2 linked regions of the Arabidopsis thaliana genome follow. The protein of the gene in region 2 purifies or fractionates together with the protein of the main gene of each other region. This does not show direct contact. Each region holds a gene or a part of one and is shown on either strand. Other genes may lie near its edges.

Region 1 (5,873 bases), on a different chromosome or scaffold from region 2:
TTCTATCTGTCATGATTACAGAGTCGACAACTTCTCCAAACTTTCCAAAGTAATTCGCAAAAGTTTCTGAAAACAATAAAGTGGAAGCAATGGAATCAACACACATAAGAACAAATATAACCAATAACAGAATCACAGTGACTTGACTCCTCTATTGTCAATTACAGTAAGACAAGGGAATTACAAAACTAGATGCAAGATAACTGATGCAGCAACAACGAGCTCAATTCAAGACATAAATGGCATACATGACTAAGACGATGAAAATGAACCATACCTGCAGTTGTTTCCCAAGAAACTCCACCTACGAACAGTTTCCTAACATAAACAAAGACAAAAGGCACCACAAGAAACCTCCCCATCAATATCTTAATAACCAGCTCCGCTGAGAAGAGATTAATATCAAAAGTAAATCCATACAAAAAGATAAAGCCTAAGAAACCACGAACCCAGGAGAAGACATGGACGAAGAAGAATGGCGATGGTCAACGGAATGCTTCATCTGAATCCCACCAGTATCAACGGCTGCACCACCGTTCCTCCGGTCATCAAAGGTCTCCACTTCAAAATCCGATTGTGGTAATTGTTCGTCGTGTACGTGATGATGGTAAGAGTCATCATAACCACGATCTGAGTTATAATCCATCGATCACTGCAGCTGAGTCAAAACAAAACCTTTTAATTTCTCCGTCTGTCTATGATGAAAACCCAAACTTAAAAAATGAATTTTTTTTCTCCAATTTCGATTACTTGATTCAAAGTTATGACATCAAACATTCAAAATTTCTTATCTTGGAAGAGAAAGAACCCTAACCAATATGGTTGAAGTGGAAACGGCAACGAGCTCAGGCGAGAATTTTAACACTTCAGGCACTGAAGAATTTTTTGAAACAAATGATTCGGTGTTATCAACTTATCATCGGAATATCCGAAACGGCGCCGTATTTATTGTAGTCAACGTTGGTCAAACACTTTTCTTTGTTGCTTTTGTCAACATCAGGAGATCAAAGGTTGACTTGTGTTTGACACTTTTAACTTGCTCTCATATAAAATTAACAATTATCAATTGACATGTTGTAAAGATGAAATTTTTCATACAACAGCAAAAAAAAACACATTTTCACATTGAACAAATCTTTAGCTAAGCTTCTCGGGATTTTGCAGCTTTTAGTGCTTCAATTACTGCAGAGAAATCTTCATCGCTCAACCCATAAGATTTTGCAACCTTGTAAAGCTCGTTCGCAGCGGCTGCAATCGGAGTAGATTGCGATACGGATTCCGCTAGTCCAAGTGCGAGTCTCATATCCTATAGACGGATAAAAGTCAATTACAGTCTCATCAAACTCCAGAGTCTTTGTGAGAATCTAAAAAAAGAAAGTAACACAATTACACAAACCTTCTGCTGATGCTTTAATGGAAAAGCCGTCGGGTACACTGACTTGATCATTGAAGGACCCTTTAGTGAGTACATTGGCGCATTGATAGCTCCCTGTGAGACAACCTGCAGAAAAAAATTTCCCGGGGTTTATAGCACATTTGGTAAGAAACTTTCTGCTGGACAATGGTGTTTTAGTTACCTCGACAAGTACATTTGGATCGAGTCCAACTTTCTGGCTTAGAAGTATTCCCTCCGCGAATGATGCCATCATACTGCATAGGTAAAGAGAAAAAGAGATCAGAAGAAGAATCTGGAATTTGCCAAGAAATGAAGCGATAGATGGTCAAATGATACCTTCCCATGATCATGTTGACGACAAGTTTCATTGCTGCTCCATTACCAACTTCACCCAAATAGAATTTTGACTGGATCATATAATGCAAACTAGTAACGAAAATGGTTCATTTGCAGAAGAAAAAAGAACTAAAAGCAAAACACAGGCAAAAGAGATACCTTTCCCATGATGTCTAAGAAAGGAGCAGCTTTTTCGTATAGCGGCTTGTCACCTAAAATGTCAAGTGCCAGATAGTCATAAATCTCCATTTCATTCATGATTCAACCATGTTAGAAAATACAGGCAAGTCACCCGCGAAGACAAAATAATCTGATATGCAAAAGTGATGATCGATTATTAATACAAGCTCAATGAGGAGTAAGCTGTTACGAACCTGCAGTGAGAAATATTAACTGCCCATCTTCGGCAGGCTTTTTGGAACCTGAAACTGGTGCCTATGAATATCAAAAATAGAAATGACTTAAGCCACCAGATCTGTTACAAGGTTTTTTAGTGATTCTAGATATAGATTAACTAAGAGCCTTTACCTCCAAGAACAAGGCTCCGGTATCCTTTATTTGCTTGCTGATTAGTATTGATGAGGCCACATCAACGGTTGAGACATCAACATACCTGCAGTAGCAAGGCAAGTCCCATTTTTACCAGAAAGTATCGACCACATTACTATATAGATTCGAAGAAGAAATTAAAAAAGAACGACTGTGAACTCTTCTGTAGTTACATAAGAAATACAGATATCTTGAAACATTTCAGCAATAGAACGTTATATCCAGCATAAGTCTCATGAAGGAGTAAGTACCCTTTTCCTGAACTAATCCCAAATATGGCTCCATTCTTTCCACATGCAACATCAATCTGACAGAAAGCAAAATACAGTTTTTGTTTTAATATGGAGTGAAAGTAGAAGAAAAAGAGACGCAAACAAAAGTGAGACATACGCACTGCACTTTCAGGATCAGCAAGCATTGCAAATGTGAGATCACAAGTTGCAGTCACTTCTTCAGGAGAAGACTTGTACCTGCAACAAAGGGAGATACTTTCTTAATCGTTAAATTTTTCTTCTACGTTAGCTCTAAAACCTCACTCGGAGTAAATAATATCATTCTTTATAAGAAGCATTGGAACTCTTACTTTGCTCCTAATCCAACGAGAGGATCACATTTGCTCTTAGTTCGATTCCATACAGTCACATCACACCTAACAACCAAGCCCCAGAAAGATCAACGTAAGTATCATCAATACATCAAAAAGAGGTAAAGTAGCAAAATTGATGTGAATTAGATTGTCTACACATAAAAATCAAAACTTTTTTACCCAGCTTTGATGAGGTTCTGTGCCATTGGAGAACCCATGATTCCCATACCCAGAAACCCAATGCTAACAGTTCCAAGTTCATCTGCCATACGAACCACAATTCCTCAGATAAGACTACCCCAAAAAGGATAAAGATAAGGAGATTATAGTATTCGATCATCTTTCTCGAAACTTGTGGGTTTTGTCCTAAAAAGAGAGCGACACTTCATAATTTAATCCATTTAAACGTAATTCATAGTTCTGGAAAACCAGTGTATGCATAATACAAAGCAAGAAATTACCTCTGGTAGAGGGAGTAGTAGATTGCAGGGAAGAGTAAACCCTGTAAGCGAGACAAATTTGAGGTTTTGAGAGAAAAGGGGAAATGGGTTTTGGCCTGAATCGAAGAGGGATGCGAGGACAGATAGAGCACAAAGCCATGGCTTTTGAAGAAGATGAAGCAAAAGATAATGAAACCAAAGGCATAGCCACTGGCCAGTGCGTTTGTTTAGTAGACTGTGGCCGAAATTCTCACATTTCGAGGCGGAAACTGACAGATTTTTACTGAGGAACAAAATCCACTGGCCGCGTTGCATATGCTTCGGTTTAAAGCTAATTCACAAGCAGATATAATTGTACCGGTCGGTTCAAGTGCATTTATCCCCCATGAGTCATGATGCTTGTGTTTGTATATTTTTATCAACAGTGTTTTTTCTCGAAAAAAGCCTCACTATGTACGATACTCATGCACGTTTGGACTTTGCTCAATTCAGATAAACCGAATCAGTTTGATTCAAACCGAACTGAAAAAATCGATTTGAAAACCGGGTAATGTGTTATATAGAAAACGCATCCCTATGGAGGAAACTCTCTATACACAGCACCAAAAATAGGAGAACATCAAAAAAGGATTCAGTTTTCCTGCTGAGCTCACGGCAGTTTCAATCACCAAATCATGTTCTGCAAGTTCGCAATCTTCCATTTTTATGCCTGAAAACCAACACAAGAGTGGAGAGTAAGATGGTTATAGAGGATAAGCAATATGAAGAAAGATTGCGGAAATACTCAAAAAGGCCTATACATGGAGCAAGATTCATATGAGCAAGTAATTTAGATTTACTAATAAGCTTGAGGAGAGATGGAGAGAAATGCTGACCAAAACGAGTCTTTCTTTTCCTGTTCCAATAGCTCTTCGAAGGAAATGTCTGAAAATTCATCATCTGGATTGTCTAACTCTGTGCTCGATTTGTCTTTGAGTTCCATGGAAGCGCTTATTTCAAGAACCTATAGTAGTATCATAAAGAGTATTAACGGCTTTAACTAGAGATAACCAAAAATCTCAAGGGAAGTCCCAATTATGCTAACAGAGTCCAATACAGGAGATAAGACTCTACTGGTTTATCAGACAGCAACAACAATCAGTAAGATTAATCTAGAATCAGAAACATCATTGAACAGATTTTTGAGGTTTTGGACACATAGGACACAATCTTTGGAAACAAGTGATTGAGTTTGGTTTTTAACCTTTTTGTATGCAGGTGAGAGTTTAAGCTGTTGCTGGAGCCAATTATATACAAGTGCATCTTCTTCTACTCTTTTTTGTTCCATCTCCAGCTTATAGATCTGATGACACACAAACAATTAACTTCAAAAGCAACAAACGGATAAAAATCAGACAATCAATTGATGAAGCTAAATTCACCTGTTGACGAAGTCGGTCAAAGGAAGATCTATCAGCCTTAAAGAGAAGGGCTTTTGTTATTGAAAACTTGCGCTTGATTACTTCTGACCTACAGTAGACACAATCAGGCTTAAATCAGTGTCACCGGAGAAGAAAAGGCTAACTCAGTAAAGCAACATGTCACACCATCAACATAACAAAGCATAGAACAGGAAGCAACTATTTGTAATTCCTGTGTCCTCAAAATGTAGGAAGAACTAAGAAAATGGATGAGAGTATATGATATTATGTTATGGTAGTGTTAACTTACTTGTGTTGTAGTTCATTTTTGGCTTCTATCAAACAATTAGCAAACTCCCCAACCTACAGAAGTGAAGAACCCAGAAAACATCAGAATCTAAAACTCAACTGGGCAGAATTTTATAGTAATCCAAAGTTTAGATTGAAGTAAATCATTCTGATATATCAAAAGGAAGCAAGCTTAGCTGATGATTAAGTATTGAAACCTCCCAACTCAAAAATCATTTAGTTTATCAACTGAGTTTAGTATAGGCTATTGAACAAACACCACAAAGGTATATAAACCACATAGAGGTTTTAGGATGCTAATTAAGGAAATCACAGGCTTAATAGACTTGGATTTATGTTTCAAATTCACGTTTTCCAATTTTGATTTCCATAAATAGTTAATAACCGAAGGTAAAGAAGGTGACCTGAGCTAGTGTCAATCCTTTGGCATTATTGCATTTAACAAGCTGATCGTATTGCTGCTTAATCTTCCTCTGCGTAGCACTGCTCGTCGATGTAAAAGGATATAAACAAACAAACTCCGGTTTGTTTTCCGATATCGAAATCGAGTCTGTCCTCGGATTCAAAACAAGCCCATCTTCTCCCTCACCGAGCTGCTTTTCGCCGCCGGATTCATCTCCTCTTATGTCTGATTTCTTCTTCTTACCTCGATTCTTCTTCTTCTTCTTCTTCTTTTTCACATGATCTCCTTCCCAATCCGAATCATCCTCCTTCTTATCGGAGAGCAGTAACTCATAGAGTCGCGAATTCGTCAAATGGGTCGGTTCATTTTCATGGGTTTGGTACTGGGCTTCGTCGGAAATCTCCGATAGAGACGATTCTGGTTGGAGTTTGGTTTCGGATTCGGATAAGAGTTT
Region 2 (5,537 bases):
CTCTTATGGTTTTTCCATTTGATCACCAATTTTGTAAAGGAGCTCTAAAAATTTGAGACGATATTGAGGAAAACTAGAGCTATATGAGAATATTCTCTTCCAAGTAGTCTCCAAACAGAATACATGCTTTTGTTAAGTACCTTACCTATAAGAGCAGTCTTGCTTAGTTTTTTAGTTCTTGCGCAAGCATGCATGCTATCTGAAGTCTAAAGTCAGTTTTTGTTGTATTCCTTCTCTGTAAAAGTGTAAAGTCATGTGAAATATAAATTTACATCTAAACAAAAGAAATATAGGTCAACTAAGCAAATACAAGTTCTTATTTCCTTTTTTCTGTCGCTCATCTGATAGCACCTCCATTACTTAAAATGCTCTCAAATAACAATATTTCAAATAGAATTTAGTCTTCAAATCAGTTCTTGACACTGCCCCGTTATATGCACAAATATCCTTTACTGTATTTTCTTGTTACAAAATGTAAGAATGTTATCTGCTGCATGTTCATGCAAAAATCTTTTGGTGTAATAAAGTAACATTTAGGTGCAAAAATTTTCTTTATTACAAAATCTTAATGTAACGGACAATCACAAGGCAGTCTAACATAATACAAATATGCAACGAACAATCACACGGCACTCTCTAACATAATACACAAATAGCAAATGCTTAGTATGTGTGATGGTTTGTGGATTATTTGGTCGTATTGTTGGCCGCTGATGGAATCTTAGGCTTTTTGTAGCACCTCCTTTGCTTTTAGAGTCAATTGTTTGTTCCAATGCGTTACAATTCTGATCACCAAATTTCTAAATAATGTCTAAGAAATTGAAATAAGTAGAGATCAAGAGCCTACATATATGAATATCCATTGCACGTTAATCATTACTTTCTTCCAAGTAGTCTACAAAAAAAAATTACAGTTAAAATATAAAAATAAAATTACACATCTCAAATGGAAAAAGAAAAAAAGATGGAAGGCCGAAATTAACAACAAAGCATAATAATCATCACATTCATTCTTTCTCTTAATATCTAATTTCTTGAGCAACCTCAAAGAAGTGTGCTACATTCTCTTCAGGGGTTCCAACTTTAATACCATGCCCCAAGTTGAGAATGTGTTTATCTCTCCCAGCTTTCTTCACAGTATCATGAATCCGGCTTGTGATAAATTCTTTCGATCCAAATAGAACTCCCGGATCAACGTTTCCTTGAACTGCTATGTCTCTTCCTAGCCGGTCTCTTCCTTCAGCCATGTCCACAGTCCAGTCCAAGCTCACAACATCCACACCGGTCCGAGCCAGTCTCTCTAGCAAACCTCCTGATCCACTAGCATAAAGTATGAGAGGTAGGTTTGGGTGAGTTTGTTTCACAGCTTCCACAATCTGTTTGAGATAAGGTAAGCTAAACTCCTCAAAATCCACCGGGCTAAGCTCGGTTGCCCAAGAGTCGAATATTTGCACAGCTTGAGCTCCGCTATCTGCTTGATAGCGTATGTACGTTATCATCGAGGTTGTGAACTTCTGGAGTAAGGCATGTAGAACCTGAGAAGAAAGAAAATCTGTTCAATCTCTGAGATATTAACCAAATTGTCAAGTTGTACAATTGCTTTAAGCTTTTACTAATCCACCTTGGGTTGAGAAAAAGCTAATCTTTTTATCTGTGTGAAGTTCTTAGATGAGCCACCTTCGATTACATACGAAGAAAGTGTAAATGGAGCTCCAACAAATCCCAGAACAGCGGCTTCATTGTTCACCTGAAATAAAACATATTCTTCAGCTTAAGAGCATTTGTTATTTTTTGTTTTTTGGATAAAGAGATTAAGAGCATTTGTTGCTTCGATCATCACACTATCTTTAGTACCTCATTTCTTAATCTTCTGAGTGCTTCTCCAACATAAGGAACAGATTCCTCTGGTACGAATTCTCTAACTTGAGCAACGTCGGCAGCTGATTGAGGCGGGTTAAAGATGATAGGACCTTTTCCTTTAACAATGTCGAAAGGTATGTTCATTCCAGACAATGGAGTGAGAATGTCTGAGAACAGAATCACCTTTTCATACATTTTGAAACACAGACATGTCAACTTAAGAGATCATAAAAAGAAAAACTCCAAAACTAAATGGACATAGAGAAGAAAGAACTCACCCCATCTGGCTTAAACACCTTCCATGGCTGCAAAGAAATTTCCACCACAAGATCTGCATTCTCTGATCTATCTCTGAAAGAAGGATACTTCTCACAGAGAGTTTGATAACTCTGTTCATCACATTAATAAACACTCAGGTCACACGAATTCGAAAGAAATAGGAACAAGCAAAATGTGAGTTAGTAAACAAAATAAATGGAAGCAAGCTTGCCTTCATGTACCTCCCAGCTTGCCTCATAAGCCAAACCGGAGGTCTATCAACAACTTCACCTTTAACAGCTCTCAGAAGAAGTGGCTCGCTGGTTGCCGAGACTTTTCTCTCGGTTACAGTAGTTCCTAAACAAAGAATTTGAATCCCATTAAGCATAAAGATTAAGACTCGTAAGCTTTTGCACATTCCATGATCAAACTCAATTCAGGGAAAACAAATGAAACCCCATAGAAACGTTCCAATTCTAGAATTAAGCAATATACGTTACTTCGAAGAAGCACGAGAAGATCATATAGCTTCTGCAGAACAAACTCGAAAAATCCTAAATTTCTACCAGAGAGATTATTGGTACAAGAGAAACTGAAAGTTTCTTCATATTACCATTGTACCCATCTATTAAATCCATAACAGATTAACCAAAACAATCAATTCAAGTACTACACGAAACACCCAATTCGTTTCCTATTTGCCAAAAAGAGAGAAACTTTGTGGAAAATTCACAACTTTATAACTACCCAGATATTAACTCACCAAAAACTTCATCAAAATGAATCAAAATTGAGAGTTAGAAATAAGTACCCTCGACGGAACATCGAACTATCCGGCATGACTTGGTAGATGAGAGAGATTTTCTGGGAGATATGGAGAGAAGAGTAGAAGAAGAAAGAGACGAAGTAGAGACTTGAAGGATTGACATTTTTCAGATCCCCGAGACAATCTCAAAGGCTTCTTCAACGAGGTCAAGGTGTTGTTATACTCTGTTTTGAGATCTTAGCATCTTCTCTCTTTCAACGAGATGGGGTTAACGTCTTCGAACGAAGAAGATAGAAAAAACTTTGATGATAAGAGATCTGCTGACGTGGATTCAACGTTGCCTAGTCAGCTACTATCTCTGCCACGTCATTGTTTGGTTTATTCTAATCATCTTGGTTCAATTTGGTTCGGTTTCATTGCTAAGATACAGCTTTTATCCAGTAATCACATTTCTGCAGTTTTCATTGTTGTTTTACAATCACTATCAAATTTGTTGTTTACTCATTAGATTCAAAGCATTATGTTTTATTTAAAGACTAAGATTGTATATTTATTTTTTGGAAAATCAACAAATATAAAAGACCGGAAAAGCAATCAACACCATATCAAACCAAAATGAAAACCAATTACAAACACATTAATAAGGACTAAAAATAGAAATAGTGGGAGGTGTTTGTTTTTAAAGGCTGGATTTTTTCTTGCTCTGCTTCTGCAGTGGAAGTGTAATGTGTATGAACCCAAACTTTCTCCTCTGCGTGACGTACTGTTTCTCTTCATGTACCTCCTCTTTCTCTCCCCGTGCCGAAAACTTCACATCCTGCTTTAGTTCCTTCAACATTTGGCTCAAATTCACATTTCGCCTCGGTATTTGCCCTTCAAGGCTCTGTCTTTGGGGAGCAACAACATCTTCCTTTGGAACTTGCTTACGCCTTAGAACATCACGCATTGAGATATTAGACTTTAACACTGGCTTTGGGAGAATGTCAAGTGGCTCGTGATGCTTGTTCAAATGGCTGAAAAAGGAGCGTCGGGTATGATTCAAAGGTGTAAAGTTATCGCCTTTCAATGAGTCTTTTGTCCACCCGCGGAAAGCATTTTCAGCTGCAAGTTGCTTCACATTAGCGATCTCTACTCGGTTTAACGCAGCTTCTAAAGCCTGCTTACTTTGTTTAACTCCTTCAGTAGCTTCCTCAAGCTTCTTCAAAATCCCTCGTCTTGAACTCTTATCCGTGGAGAAGTCATTATCAATCCTGAGTCCTCTTGGTGTCACAGGAGATCTTGGAGGCTCTGGAAAGCAAAATTCCGAATCATCGTCCTGGCTTTCACCATTGGATGATAACATTGTAATTTCAGCAATCGCAAGTGCTTCCGCTGCTTTCGCAGCTTCTTCCATTTTCCTAGCAGCAACCAATCTCATCTCTGCAGTTCTCAGACTGTTCTTGTTCTGCAGGTTTAAACCCGTTTCATCGGCTTCAGCAACCATCTTAACCTGCTCCCTTAACGGTTCATCTTGAACCTGTGGTTTTACCTTAATCCGACTCAACTCCTCAGCTAGAGATACCGGTCCACCAAACCCATACGTTAGCTTAGCCCGTGTCTTCTCAAGGAAGTCTTTCTCTTCTTTCATTTTCTTATTCAGAGATTCAACAGAGGACTGGATCACTACAAGGTTGTCCATGGTTTTACCAAGATTCATCTTAGCTTGCTTCAATTCCATCAAGATCAAATCAGGAGATGACATGGGATTGTGATGGCAATGCTCATCGTTCATCTCTTTGATATCTGAACTGAGTTGGTCAGAGCATCTCAGTGCTTCTTGCTGAAGCTGCCGCTTCAAATCTTCAACGATCCTTTTGGTTGATCCAAGAGCTTCTAAAACATCCAAAGTTTCAAGCTCTTTCACAATCAGATCCTTCTCAAGCTCCGCTGCATGCTCCTCCATTCTCTTAATGTCAAATTCACCATTCTGAACGTTGACAAAAACCAAAAGAAAATGAAAATCATATCTCAACTCCTAATCCAACCTCACACAGTGACACAGATACTCCGAGATTCATTGTTACAAAATCAGTGTGTGCATTTTACACTCGACGATCAACACTTAATGGTGATGATGATCTCAGAGACAGAACAACAGCTTAAACGATCTTGATGCTTTCAACAACTTACATATATGTTGCTAAAACCTCGATTATGAAATTCTAGACTCGAGTTATATTCAATCTCAATATTGTAATGCTACTGAATTGCACAAAGGTCATGAACTCAATTTTACATACTTCCACAGAAGTCATGAGATTCGACTGTAAAGAACAATGGAAAATGGTCACCATCAAAGCATCAAATGTTAGTATGCAATGCATATTAATGTGTTTGTATATTACACTGATCTGACATTGAAGAAAAAACTGAGAAAGAACAAAACTTACGAAAGTGTCATCAAGCTTGAAAGGAACCCAATAACCACGACCACCGAATCGAGTCACCGCCTCCTGAACCGATCCGAATGGAGGAGAAGTATCGATTTCAGCTCTCAACCCAACTCTCCTAATTCCAGGTACATTAGAAACACCAACCGGATCAACACAGAACCCGGAATTCTCAGAACCGGGTTGAATCCTGACATCATGGATCCCAGGCGTACCCGGAATCG

What was found.
Region 1: the proteins of HEME2 (region 2) and GLYR2 fractionate together in Arabidopsis thaliana (co-fractionation; one large-scale study listed by BioGRID). This does not show direct contact.

The regions. Positions count from the first base shown.
Region 1 is NC_003070.9:6,068,453-6,074,325, forward strand, and holds GLYR2 (glyoxylate reductase 2), read right to left. Parts: upstream 3,678-5,873; 5' UTR 3,513-3,677; coding exon 3,329-3,512; intron 3,234-3,328; exon of another isoform or gene 3,137-3,233; coding exon of another isoform or gene 3,130-3,136; coding exon 3,048-3,129; intron 2,931-3,047; coding exon 2,865-2,930; intron 2,752-2,864; coding exon 2,676-2,751; intron 2,589-2,675; coding exon 2,533-2,588; intron 2,346-2,532; coding exon 2,261-2,345; intron 2,168-2,260; coding exon 2,107-2,167; intron 1,945-2,106; coding exon 1,892-1,944; intron 1,804-1,891; coding exon 1,733-1,803; intron 1,651-1,732; coding exon 1,578-1,650; intron 1,502-1,577; coding exon 1,397-1,501; intron 1,307-1,396; coding exon 1,142-1,306; 3' UTR 972-1,141; downstream 1-971. Other genes in the region: AT1G17640 (RNA-binding (RRM/RBD/RNP motifs) family protein), read right to left, coding at 1-66, 278-318, 450-646; AT1G17665 (CA-responsive protein), read right to left, coding at 3,980-4,016, 4,183-4,310, 4,551-4,649, 4,729-4,816, 5,018-5,070, 5,421-5,873. UniProt on the Arabidopsis thaliana protein: Catalyzes the NADPH-dependent reduction of glyoxylate to glycolate as well as succinic semialdehyde (SSA) to gamma-hydroxybutyrate in vitro.
Region 2 is NC_003071.7:16,910,471-16,916,007, reverse strand, and holds HEME2 (Uroporphyrinogen decarboxylase), read right to left. Parts: upstream 3,204-5,537; 5' UTR 3,048-3,203; coding exon 2,930-3,047; intron 2,476-2,929; coding exon 2,351-2,475; intron 2,250-2,350; coding exon 2,139-2,249; intron 2,044-2,138; coding exon 1,855-2,043; intron 1,748-1,854; coding exon 1,622-1,747; intron 1,536-1,621; coding exon 1,020-1,535; 3' UTR 806-1,019; downstream 1-805. Other genes in the region: AT2G40480 (WEB family protein (DUF827)), read right to left, coding at 3,564-4,850, 5,314-5,537. UniProt on the Arabidopsis thaliana protein: Catalyzes the decarboxylation of four acetate groups of uroporphyrinogen-III to yield coproporphyrinogen-III.